Drosophila melanogaster: one gene and its partner. The protein of the gene in region 1 interacts with the protein of each later gene in a pairwise test. Each region holds a gene or a part of one and is shown on either strand. Other genes may lie near its edges.

Region 1 (6,227 bases):
ATGTGCACTGGAACGGATGCCTTACCGCGCAAAACAATTCGGCGATCAAGGTTTGAACTTATTCAGGTATTATCCTCCAATTAGCTTTTAAACTTGTATTCCTCAGATGATGGAGTTCTGGACCAACTCCCTGCAGCCCAAACATTTGGAGCCCAACGACTGCATCCTGTACGCGCAGCTCTTCCGCACCATCTACAGCTTCGATATATTCCTCGAAACCGAGGGATCCATGCAAAACACCATTGAGTACAACAAGGAGAAGCCTTACATAAGCGCCTTCGCCAAGCGGAGCCGCTCACGCCCCTACAAATACATCAAGAAGGGATCGGTCTACGCGTTCAAGCAGTGACAGTTGAATAACGAATGTTGTACAACACAATGCGCCAATGCGGTTACTAAACGTTCTCACAGTTGCGTTTATTACGATTAGTAATACAATAAATAAGTAACATTTAAAGCTAGCTAGCTACGACTTCATTGGCAGTTGATCTTCTGGGAAGAGGTCGCTGCCAAGGATCCGGGAGGTAGTGCCGTCGCAGAAGGGTTCTCAACCGCCTCCCGACTCTCGTCCGGCATCACTTTGTCCACGACGTGCTTGACGATCAGCCCATCGTCGCCCAGATAGCAGACAGAGTAGCCGTCGTACCAGGCCTCCTGATCCTTCAGCACCTCCTTCAGTTGCCAGAGCTTGTACTTCCAGAACTGGAACATGACCTTCAGGCCGGAAATGCCGCGCACTCGCCACCTTATCCGCACTGTGTAGTCGTCCTGGTGCTTCGTGATCTTGAGCACCTCGAATTTCACGTAGGCGTACTTCAGGTGGCCAACCGTTCGCAGGATGGCGATCTGTTTGACGTAGTGGTACAGGCCCACCGTGTGCTTGCCCGTTATGTTGTTGTGGAAGATTAGGCCCGGGCTGTAAATGGAGTAGTCTAGGGGCTCCACGAACAGCTTTGGTAGCGTGGTCCTCAGAACCTCGTAGGCTCTATCCAGGTCCTCGGGCTTACGCTCGTTCTCCTTAGGGTTCCCGGGCAGCCTCTCCGCTTTGGTGCTCTCGTAGGCCCTTCGACTTTGCTGGAGGTTATTGGCGGCATGGCTGTTTAACAACTTTTGTGGACACTTCGCCGGCGCAGACGCACTTAGCCGCATGGCGGACGCCCACGCCCGCTCCTTGGAGCACCAGTTGGCCATCCAGCTGCTCCTTCTTATTGATGAAATCCCGAAATTTCGCAACATCTTGCAAGGACTTTGTGTGCTACTTCCTTCACCGGAACTGGGTTTCCTCGATTCAGATCTGCCTCGTCTGCAGATCACACCATTCAAATTGAACTTAGATCCTGGCTATTTTTCGTTTGCGGCCCTCAGGAATTTGACGTGCTCGTGTTTAGGTAACAACATTTGGAAATAAAATACTCGGCAAAAATCATATGGTCGTTGGGCTGCAGTGTGGCCAGACTGTGTGTAATGTCCCAATAGCTGCGAGTGCCAGTGTGGATGTTAGGGGAACTCCCGTTGTCCAGGGTTGTCATGCCGGATTAGTTTCACAAATTAACTTCCGCAACCGGAAGTCATGAAAATGGAAAATATAACTTATTTGGTTTGAATTTAGTGTTTCAAGCTTATTACATGAAATATGTTGTCTCTTTTTTGAAGTGCAATAATCTCAAACACTTTTCATTTATGTAAGTACATGGTTTTGGAGTTGCCTTATGCGGTTTTCTTGGTTGTTCTTCTGATAAATGTTTGGTACCTCAACAAGCATCGAATCCAGGCACTCGCATCCGCATCGAATCCCACAGGAGGCGTTTGACGAGAAACTGTTGCACTTTACAGTACTAAATGGTTTTGTGCGCAGACTTGCTGCGCAGACCAATTTGTTACAAGCTCGAATCACACACAAATCTGGGGGCATACACATATATCTGTCTGCAGGTAAACACGTTGTTTACAGCCACCCAGCTATATAACACTAATTTGAGCTGAGGAGCTTTCGCTGGCTGAAAAATCGACTTTTATTTGAGCTTAAACCCATAGAGCCTCGTACTATGACGCGCTAATCGGTGACCGTATTATTGAGTGCCAAATTCTCGACTTAGTTGCAATGTCTACTCGACTCTGCTAGCCCTAGTATTGAGAAAAATCAATAGGAAGTAAATAAAAATGCTGCATGCCTGAAACTCGCTTTGCGGATACTCTTAAACTACGTATAATCAATTTTTCTATCGGTAACCGAGCTATCCAAAATGTACGGAATCACTCAATCAACTGTTAACGTAAGTACCCAACCGGCTGTCCGGGATAACTTTCCGTTCTAGTCCTCAGCGATTATTGATTGGCCTTGAAACCCAACCAACTGCCAATGTGGGCTCTCCTTCCCCTCTCCAGAATCAACGCTTTCGAGTTCGTGATATGGATAACGAGCAGATCATGTCCACTTTTGGGAACATAGGTCACCTGCTGAACATTGCCGTGGAGCGATTTATAACCATTGGCGAGATCATCGCCGAGGAGAATATTGACATCAAGGGAGACATGTACGAGGCGGCGAAGGAGGCCAGAGATGCGGGTAAGAAGACATCCTTTCCAGCCTGGTACATCCTTTTCATTGTATTTTGTTGTACGATAGGAAAATCGATTGAACGACTTTGTGATATTTCACCTCTAAGCGGCATGGAGCTGCGCCACCACATCGAGCCCCTTAAGGACTATGGAGCCATCATTTTGGCGGCCCGCTCCCTGCTGTCGTCCGTCACGCGCATCCTACTGCTGGTCGACATCATAGTTGTGAAGAAGCTGCTGACCGCCAAGAAGCGGGCCTCCGAGAGCCTGGAGAAGCTGGAGTCGGTCATGAACTTCACGGAATTCGTGCGCGCCTTCTCCGTGTTCGGAACCGAGATGATTGAGCTGGCCTACCTCACGGGCCACCACCGCAACTCCTTCAAGGAGGAGCGACGGCGGGCGCAGATGTTCTCGGCCCGCCAGATACTGGAGAAGTCCATCGCCATCCTGTTGACGTCCTCGAAGAACAGCCTGATCCACAGCGACTGCGTGATCGTGAAGGAGAACCGGGACACTGTGTTCTGCCAGATCCGCAGGGCCATGGACCTCATCCATTTCGTGGTGAAGGACAGCATCTTCGACACGGCCAAGCACATGCCGTTCGAGAAGCAGGCGAGCAACCCGAACTACGAGAACGAGAGCATCTACACGACAATAAAGCGCATTGTGAACCTCATCAAGCGGTACAAGTACCAGATGAGCTACTACGAGGGCTCTGGCGAGGGCAACAACAACTCCGACGCCTACTTCAGTTTCCTGGACGATGACCTGTGGAAGTCGGAGAAGAACCTGCCCTCCGCGGCGGGCGGCGGCCGCATGGTGAACAACACGAACTTCAGGAAGCACCTCAGCTCCGAGAGCCTGGACCTGCGCGAGGAGCTCTCGCTCGCCTTCGAGAAGCTGTTCGAGAAGGCACACGACTTCACCGACTCCCCCTACATCAGCCACAACCATCGGAAGAACATCCTCTCCTACTGCGACAACTGCAAGCTGGAGTTCGACCTCTACCTGAACACCATCATGAAGGATCAGCACGAGGGTGGCGGTGGAGCCGGTGGAGTTGGAGGAGTGGGCGGAGGCCAGGTGAAGGGTCGGTCAGATCCCGAACTGGGTATGCTGAGCAGCCTGGAGGAGCTGTGCAAGCAGTTGGTCGTCTCCGTGTCCAGCCAGATCGAGGATTTCAACGAGTCGCTCAAGATCTGCTCCAAGCTGGTCAAGTCGTTCCACGTACTGGCAACGAACTACGACATCGACAATCTGAACCAGCGCTCCTCGAAGTTCCACGACTGCTGCGATCACATCTTCGACATCTGCAAGCTGCTGCAGCACATTGCGCCCACGGAGCGGCTGCAGGTGCAGGCCAAGTGCCTGGCGATCAACCTGCGGATCTACGGGCCGCAGGTCTTCATCGCGGCCAAAATCCTGTGGAAGTACTCCAACAGCAGTGCGGCCAACGAGAACTTCGAGTCCTTCTCGGACATGTGGAAGTGGCTGACGAACGAGATCTCCATGATCGCCAAGAAGATCCTCGTCTCGATCAACACCACCAAGGGTGACAGAGATGCTGATGCTGAGGTGGGTTGCTGCCCAGAGTGGGCGAGGTAATCACTAACTTACTTCCGATCTTCCCCAGAAATGCGAAAGCTCCTCAGACAAACTAACAAAATCCGGTGTACCTGCAACAGAAGACGGAGAAATGGTTGAGTATTCTGGCCTCGAAGGCAAGAACAACGGAGATCTGAACACATATCAATCAAAATGGAGCGAAGACTTGTCGGACGACAACGACATACTGAAGAGAGCCAAGAACATGTCCGCGATGGCTTTCCTAATGTATCAGTTTACCAAGGGCAACGGTTCTCTAAGAACAACTCAGGATTTGTTTACTCAAGCCGAATATTTTGCGGAGGAGGCCAATCGACTTTACAAAGTCCTCCGCCACTTTTCATACCAGGTAATTATCGGTTGATAATGGGCATCCGTGTCGCTAACTCTGCGCTTGTTTAGGTTCCCGCCAGTGACAACAAAAAGGATCTCCTCAACATTTTAGATAGAGTGCCGACTTTTGTCCAAGCACTCCAGTTTACAGTCAAAGACCACACGGTTGGTAAAGCCGCCACCTTCGTGAAGGTCGATCACGTCATCAGGGAAACCAAGAACCTTATGAACGTTATAAACAAAGTAGTGTCGAAGTGCTTTGAGTGCGCAACTAAGGTAAATAGGCCGAGGCAGGCCCACGCGGCCATTTCCTATATGTAGTGGATGATACTACAGACTTTCTCAATGTGTATGATTTCTATAGTTTACTGTGATATTAAAGCATGCATTATTACAGGTATGATTTTAGAGCTTTCGTTTGTTGCCAGGGGCGCAGGAGAAGCCTTTTGGTTTTTGAGGATGTGCTTCAATCCCCGTTTCTAAACTCTCAATCTTATTAGTTACATCTCTTACTTTCGACTTTGCTAATGTAGATGGCGCTGTATCTTAATCTTAATCGCTAACTTTTGTATTTCACGCATGTATGTACATATGTATCTTGATGTATTGAGTTTTGAGTTGAGTTGAGTTGATAGCTTGATAAGATCCCCCATCGTGTGTTTATCTAACCCAACTGTGACCTTTAACCAACAATTGGTTTTGGCCACTCATAAGCTGCAGTGCCAGCTCCTCTACGAACTCCATCCTAATCCTAATCCCCTTGCTCCGCCTTGCAGTACAAACTAAATTTAACTGGCATAACCGGAGGACTCACCTCGGAGCGGTCGAACGAGAACATGGCCGGCGGCATGTGCGATTCCAAGGGGACGACGAGCAGCAGCGACATTCCCTGACATTACGGGATGGCTCGCCGAGCCAAGGGGGATGCGCGAAGGACGAGGGTGTCCTTCCTGCTGTTCTGAGAGGAGCCCGGGGGTTTTGCTATCGTAGTCTACACTGTTGGCACTGCATTCCGTTTTGTGTACGCGTATTAGTTGGCGGCCGCTTCTAGCGTTGATTAATGTCGAAAACTTTATTAACATACGAGTCCAATTAGTTGTTTCAGCAGCACGATCTTATAATGCATATTTTGTTTCACTACATTCGATGTTACGGCAATAAAGGTAACGCAGATGCAGATACATATGTATCTCGAGCTCTTTCACTTGGGTCTACAAGTCGGTGCGTAGATAGTTCCTGCTGCTTTCGTTCACGATGTGAGTGCGGGGCATCATGTTGCAGCAGCTCATCTTCGGTTCCTGCGAAAGATTGTACACCTTGAGGGCCACTGTTTCCTTCGACTGGTCTGTTTGGACGGTGGAGTCCCTCAGCTTCAGCAGGTTCTTGAAGAACATCAGGTCCAGGGCGAACAGAGCGGCGCAGATGAAGCAAAGTGCTCCCAATGCATAGGCAAATATCAGCAGATCTTCGGACAGCTGCTCCACCGTGAAGAATATCAGTAGTCCTGGAGGAGAGAGTTCATCACTCTGACATTACTGCATCCCAGGAGCCATATTACCCTCTATGGTGAAGAACAGAACGCCACAGGTCAACAGAATTATCTCACAGGTGCCATAGTTTGAGGTGCCCTCGATGATCCTAAGAGGAGATGGTCTTAGCATATCATATATATATATGTCATAGTCACTGGGTGGTTAGTTACCTCGTGAGCAGCAGCACAGCTGCAATGA
Region 2 (4,520 bases), 9.0 Mb from region 1:
AGGTAAATAAAATATTGTGTTTTTAATTGAAGCTAAAGATAAATTTCAGCAAAAATGTTACTTGTTAATGTATGAAAAGCAAATAAAAGAGAACAAATTAAGCGCATATTGTTAAATTTCCAAATACAACGCAATCTAAGAAAGTAATATTGATCAAAGTTTTTGATTAAAGAACATAGCAAGCAATCAATTTAAATGCAAAACAAACAGGACAAACTGAAAAACAATTTCAAATTGCACTTAAACGTTACCGATTTTATTAGTAACAACCAATATTCTTTAGCCTATCCCAATTATTATGTTGTTGTGTTTGATAACCAAGTTCTATGAGTAAGTTTAATTAGTATATAATGATTTTACTGAGCGTATAACATCAATTTGTATCTTCTTCAACTGATGTTTCCGACTAATTTTTTAAACTGGATGCACTTTTGGCATATACTACCAGATGCTAGCAAAATGAAATTGAAAACGTAAACGATAGTTGCGTTACAATTATGCATATAAAGAAAAACGAATAAAGTATTGTATAAGACAAAGTTTATGTTTTAATCAAATTGAAAAGAACTTTCGAAAAACGTTTATTAACAACTGGGCACAAATTCAACAAATGCAAAACGTTATCCTATCGTATCGTATGGAGGAGCCTTCCATTGCCCCTCAGTTGCTGCTCTGCAAAATGGAGACCGGCTCTTGCATAATCTCCTGAATCTTCGCCTCCGGAACTGCCACCCCATTCGCCAGCAGAGTGTGAACGATGCCATCATGTTTATTGCCACTTGAGCGTGCCTGAAGCACGAATTCCGTGTCCTGCAGCAGGAACTTGGTGTCTGTGCCGCCGTGAACAAAAACCGACTGCGATATGGGGGTAATAAAGTGTGTGAGTATGGTGTGTGTGTGTGTGTGTGTAGGTGGCAATAGCCCATTTCCCTCACCTCCTCGGTGCGCAGCTCATCGTTTACGTAGAGACTCAGCGTGTCCAGTTTGAGCATTATTCTATATTCCTGCGGCGCATCGGCGGCCGCATCATCCGTATATAGCCACAGTCGATATTGCCGTGTCATGTCCTCGGTGTACTGGTCGTGCGATTTGCCGTCGATGTAGAGGGAGTACTCGTATTTGAAGCCCGGCGCAGGATCAACGCGTATGATGCAGCGCGTCTGATCGATGTGAAAGGTGTCTTCGCCAACCAGTTTGAACATCCAGTCGCGACGCAGGACTTCCTGGGAATTTGATTAGGAGAAGAAAATTAGGCGGATGAACTTTATAGTTCATTTTGATAGCCCTTTAAATTGTTGCATTTGCTCTACCAGTTTATCACTCATACGCACCGTTGTCTTTGGTAAAATCTTCTATTTTGTTTGTTTGTATCGATTTAATTTATACAGTTCATATGGACTTAAAGTTTAAAAGCACTCTAAAGCACTAAAGCACTTTAGTAAGAAAGAATAAACCCAACGGTGTACTAAACATAAAAACTGAAATGCTAAATGTCGGTGAGGGATGACAGAAGTATATACATATATGTTTAGAAATAATAAGACCCAAAGAATTTAATTAAATATTTTTATCAACTAAATGAGACCTTTTTAAATATCATTCTGCATTGCTGAAGTACGATTACGTACGTACACGACCCGTAATTAAGTTTACCTTCACAATGCAAATACTTTACGAGCTCCAAAGCCACCAACCACCCATTCAGCTCGCTGGGAGCTAAAAAACTTACCCGTCCATTGACCCAAATCATGCGCCGCCCACTGGTTGTGCCATGTTCCAGCTCGATGCGGTACATCTGCGCAAAAAAAATAAAAATTACAAAAAATAAAAATGGGAATGGGCGGATAATTATCGCGAATTTCCATTAAATGTAAGTGGCGGTTTTGAAAAATAATCGCAGGTACCTTGCCATTGATGGGCACACACCATTGAGCCACAATATTCTGTTTGTTATAGCGCTGGTCCTCGGGCACATGATCCTGCGTCATCGTGGGCTGCGTGGACAGATTCTCCAGGCGCAGTGTGGGCGAAAGAAAGGACATGGGTCCGAAGCCTCGTGTCGATCTGGCTCTGGCCCACCGCCAGTCAATCAATAAATCCTATTAATATTTATAGTAATCGCCTTTAAAGTGCAGCCAACTAAATGGGTTACACAAAACCAGAGAAAACCACGTAGGTATAATATATCTATAATATTTGGGAAGTTCAAGGAACTCAAGTTTGTCTAATCTGCAGATCTGGCTGCAATGCACTTTCACTCCACCCCTATGTTTGTGGGCTTAGACCCCGAAATCGGGCTAGAATCTATTCCGCTCTCTGAATTCAACGGGCGGCGAGAAAACCCAAGACCGAACCGCACGTTGTTAGCGCCAATGGCACACTAAACAACAAACCACCGTGTACAATAAAAGCCAAAAGGAGGAGCCAAAGAAAAACTAGTTGGCCCGGCTGGCTGCCTTTGCCTTTTGGCCGGGCTCTCCGGCAGCCCAGCTCAGCTCTGTTCCGTTCTGTTCTGTTCTGGCCTTAGCCTCAGCCGTGCTTCTGGCCGAGAGTCGCGGTCGCGTTTGTCGGTCTGCCAAAGTGCAGAGCAACTACGCCGCGTGGCGCCAAAACAGAGTTGATTTGTTTCCACTAGTCGTGTGCGTGTGGATATGAGGCTGAGTGTGTGTACAGGGAAAGTCTCCTAAGACCTACACGCATATATTGGCCATACTTTAAGCGGCGATCTTTGGAATATAGTTAGCATTCAAGCCGGATACTTGGCACCCTCATACAATCCTATTCCTACATAACTGTAAAGTTTACATACCCAATCCATTTTCTACACAAATATGGTGCTTCTCCTTTTGGTTCCCGTTATCAAGTCTCCACTGTAACTACTTCTCAATACCCCCACCGAGTGTCGCTCGCATAAAAATAAACTTTGCCCCGTCAAGTATGCAATTGTTTCTGCATTGCAATTGGGCTGGCTGACTTTTCGGAATGAGCCTGGTTTTTCGCCAATGCCTCCGGCCTCCAATTGAGCGTAAGCCAAACAATATTCGTGCATACATATTTTATTCTGGATGACAATTATTTGGCCCTGGGGGATAGAGGAACTCACTGTGCCACATGGGCGCAATCGTCGCAAATTTGTCGCATTTTGTTTTGTTGTCATGTTTATGGCGCAACATTTTCTGCCCATAAATACACGCCGAAAATGCTAATGACCGATTGGGGGTGGGTTAGTAGTGGGCAATGGGTGATTTCTTTACGCTGCCAAAAGACTTGCCGCCTCCTATTGGTATTTCAATCGACCAGAAGCGATATTGATAAATGTATTTGGGCCAGATTGGGGTAAGGAAGGAGTCGCCAACGAAACGGGCACATCATATGTCAAATCAAGTTTCCCAGCTCTTGGCTCCAACCCATTTAGCCACCCAAATGTGTGGGTGGCAAGAAAAACATATGCCATCGCACCAGCACGCGAAGGTCACTGACAAAGCGCCGTTTGAAGTCGCTTACAGTTTTAGTTGATGTTGACGCTATCAAAAGGGGCAGAGTGGGTGGCGATGGGCGTGCTTTCGCCTTTCTCTGGATGTGAGTGTGTGTTTGCTGGTGTGTGAAGAAGGAAAGCGTTCGCTTGACAACAACAACAAAAACAGCGTTGGCAGATAACGAAACATTTGACAAGGACAAGGCTGCCCGCCGCCCATCAACTCCCCTATCAGCACGAAGCTCCCCGGGAGGCAGTGTGTTAGTGTAATTATTAGTGCTCTACAAAATAAATAAGTACGTATATTCATGCAAACATTCAGTTTTTTCCACGCTTCCTCGCGGATCCCCAGGCTAAAGCACTATGGGATATCTTGTGGATATCTGCAAAATAAATCTAGTTATATTCCACATCCAATCCTTAAGTATTTTAACTAACTTTGTACACATAAAGAACCAGTAAGAGGAACTTGCTCATGCATATATACCCTTAAAATCCATTTGAATGAAAAGGATCTTATGATTTTGCATCATATTTTTTGTAAATCAAGTTGAATGAGTACAAGGTTATAACAGAAGCTAAATCAAAGATTAATATATGTATATACTTAAAAAAAAAAGTTTGGGTAATATACCCAAATTTAAATTATAAATTCGTTCTTGTATATTATAATAAATAAGATTTAATTTATGTATATCATTTTTGGATTAAAAAATCATGATAAATTATATATCTAAATTATATTTTCTTATTATATGTGACATTGCAATACCTCCATATTTCATAAGGTATTTTGCCCATTTATCTTTTCCAGCCCATCGTGCGCGGTTGCGCTTTTTCGTTCACTACTTTCCAGCTGAATTTACGACCATTCCGCTGGTTGTTCACTTTTTATGCAAATACATGTGGCCAAAAGTGCCGCAACAGACAACATTCGGTGGCGCTGTCGCTGATGATGTCGTAGCCAGTGGAGCCGCGGAGCACGGTGGCAGGAGGTGCATGTAGCGGATTCTCCAGGGGGATTGGATTGCGTGCTTCGCTGGTG

Evidence for each region. Proteins that work in one complex are often made in the same cells at the same time.
Region 2: the proteins of alpha-Catr (region 1) and CG10257 interact in a two-hybrid assay, tested with the Drosophila melanogaster proteins (one large-scale study listed by BioGRID).

What each region holds. Positions count from the first base shown.
Region 1 is NT_033778.4:23,955,947-23,962,173, forward strand, and holds alpha-Catr (alpha-catenin related), read left to right. Parts: upstream 1-1,895; 5' UTR 1,896-2,243; coding exon 2,244-2,273; intron 2,274-2,385; coding exon 2,386-2,566; intron 2,567-2,626; coding exon 2,627-4,134; intron 4,135-4,192; coding exon 4,193-4,513; intron 4,514-4,566; coding exon 4,567-4,773; intron 4,774-5,273; coding exon 5,274-5,390; coding exon of another isoform or gene 5,391-5,459; 3' UTR 5,460-5,685; downstream 5,686-6,227. Other genes in the region: thoc5, read left to right, coding at 1-50, 107-349; CG16787 (uncharacterized protein), read right to left, coding at 475-1,236; CG13566 (uncharacterized protein), read right to left, coding at 5,709-6,001, 6,056-6,135, 6,200-6,227.
Region 2 is NT_033778.4:14,940,474-14,944,993, reverse strand, and holds CG10257 (uncharacterized protein), read right to left. Parts: upstream 2,597-4,520; 5' UTR 2,043-2,596; coding exon 1,905-2,042; intron 1,796-1,904; coding exon 1,730-1,795; intron 1,224-1,729; coding exon 936-1,223; intron 856-935; coding exon 661-855; 3' UTR 525-660; downstream 1-524.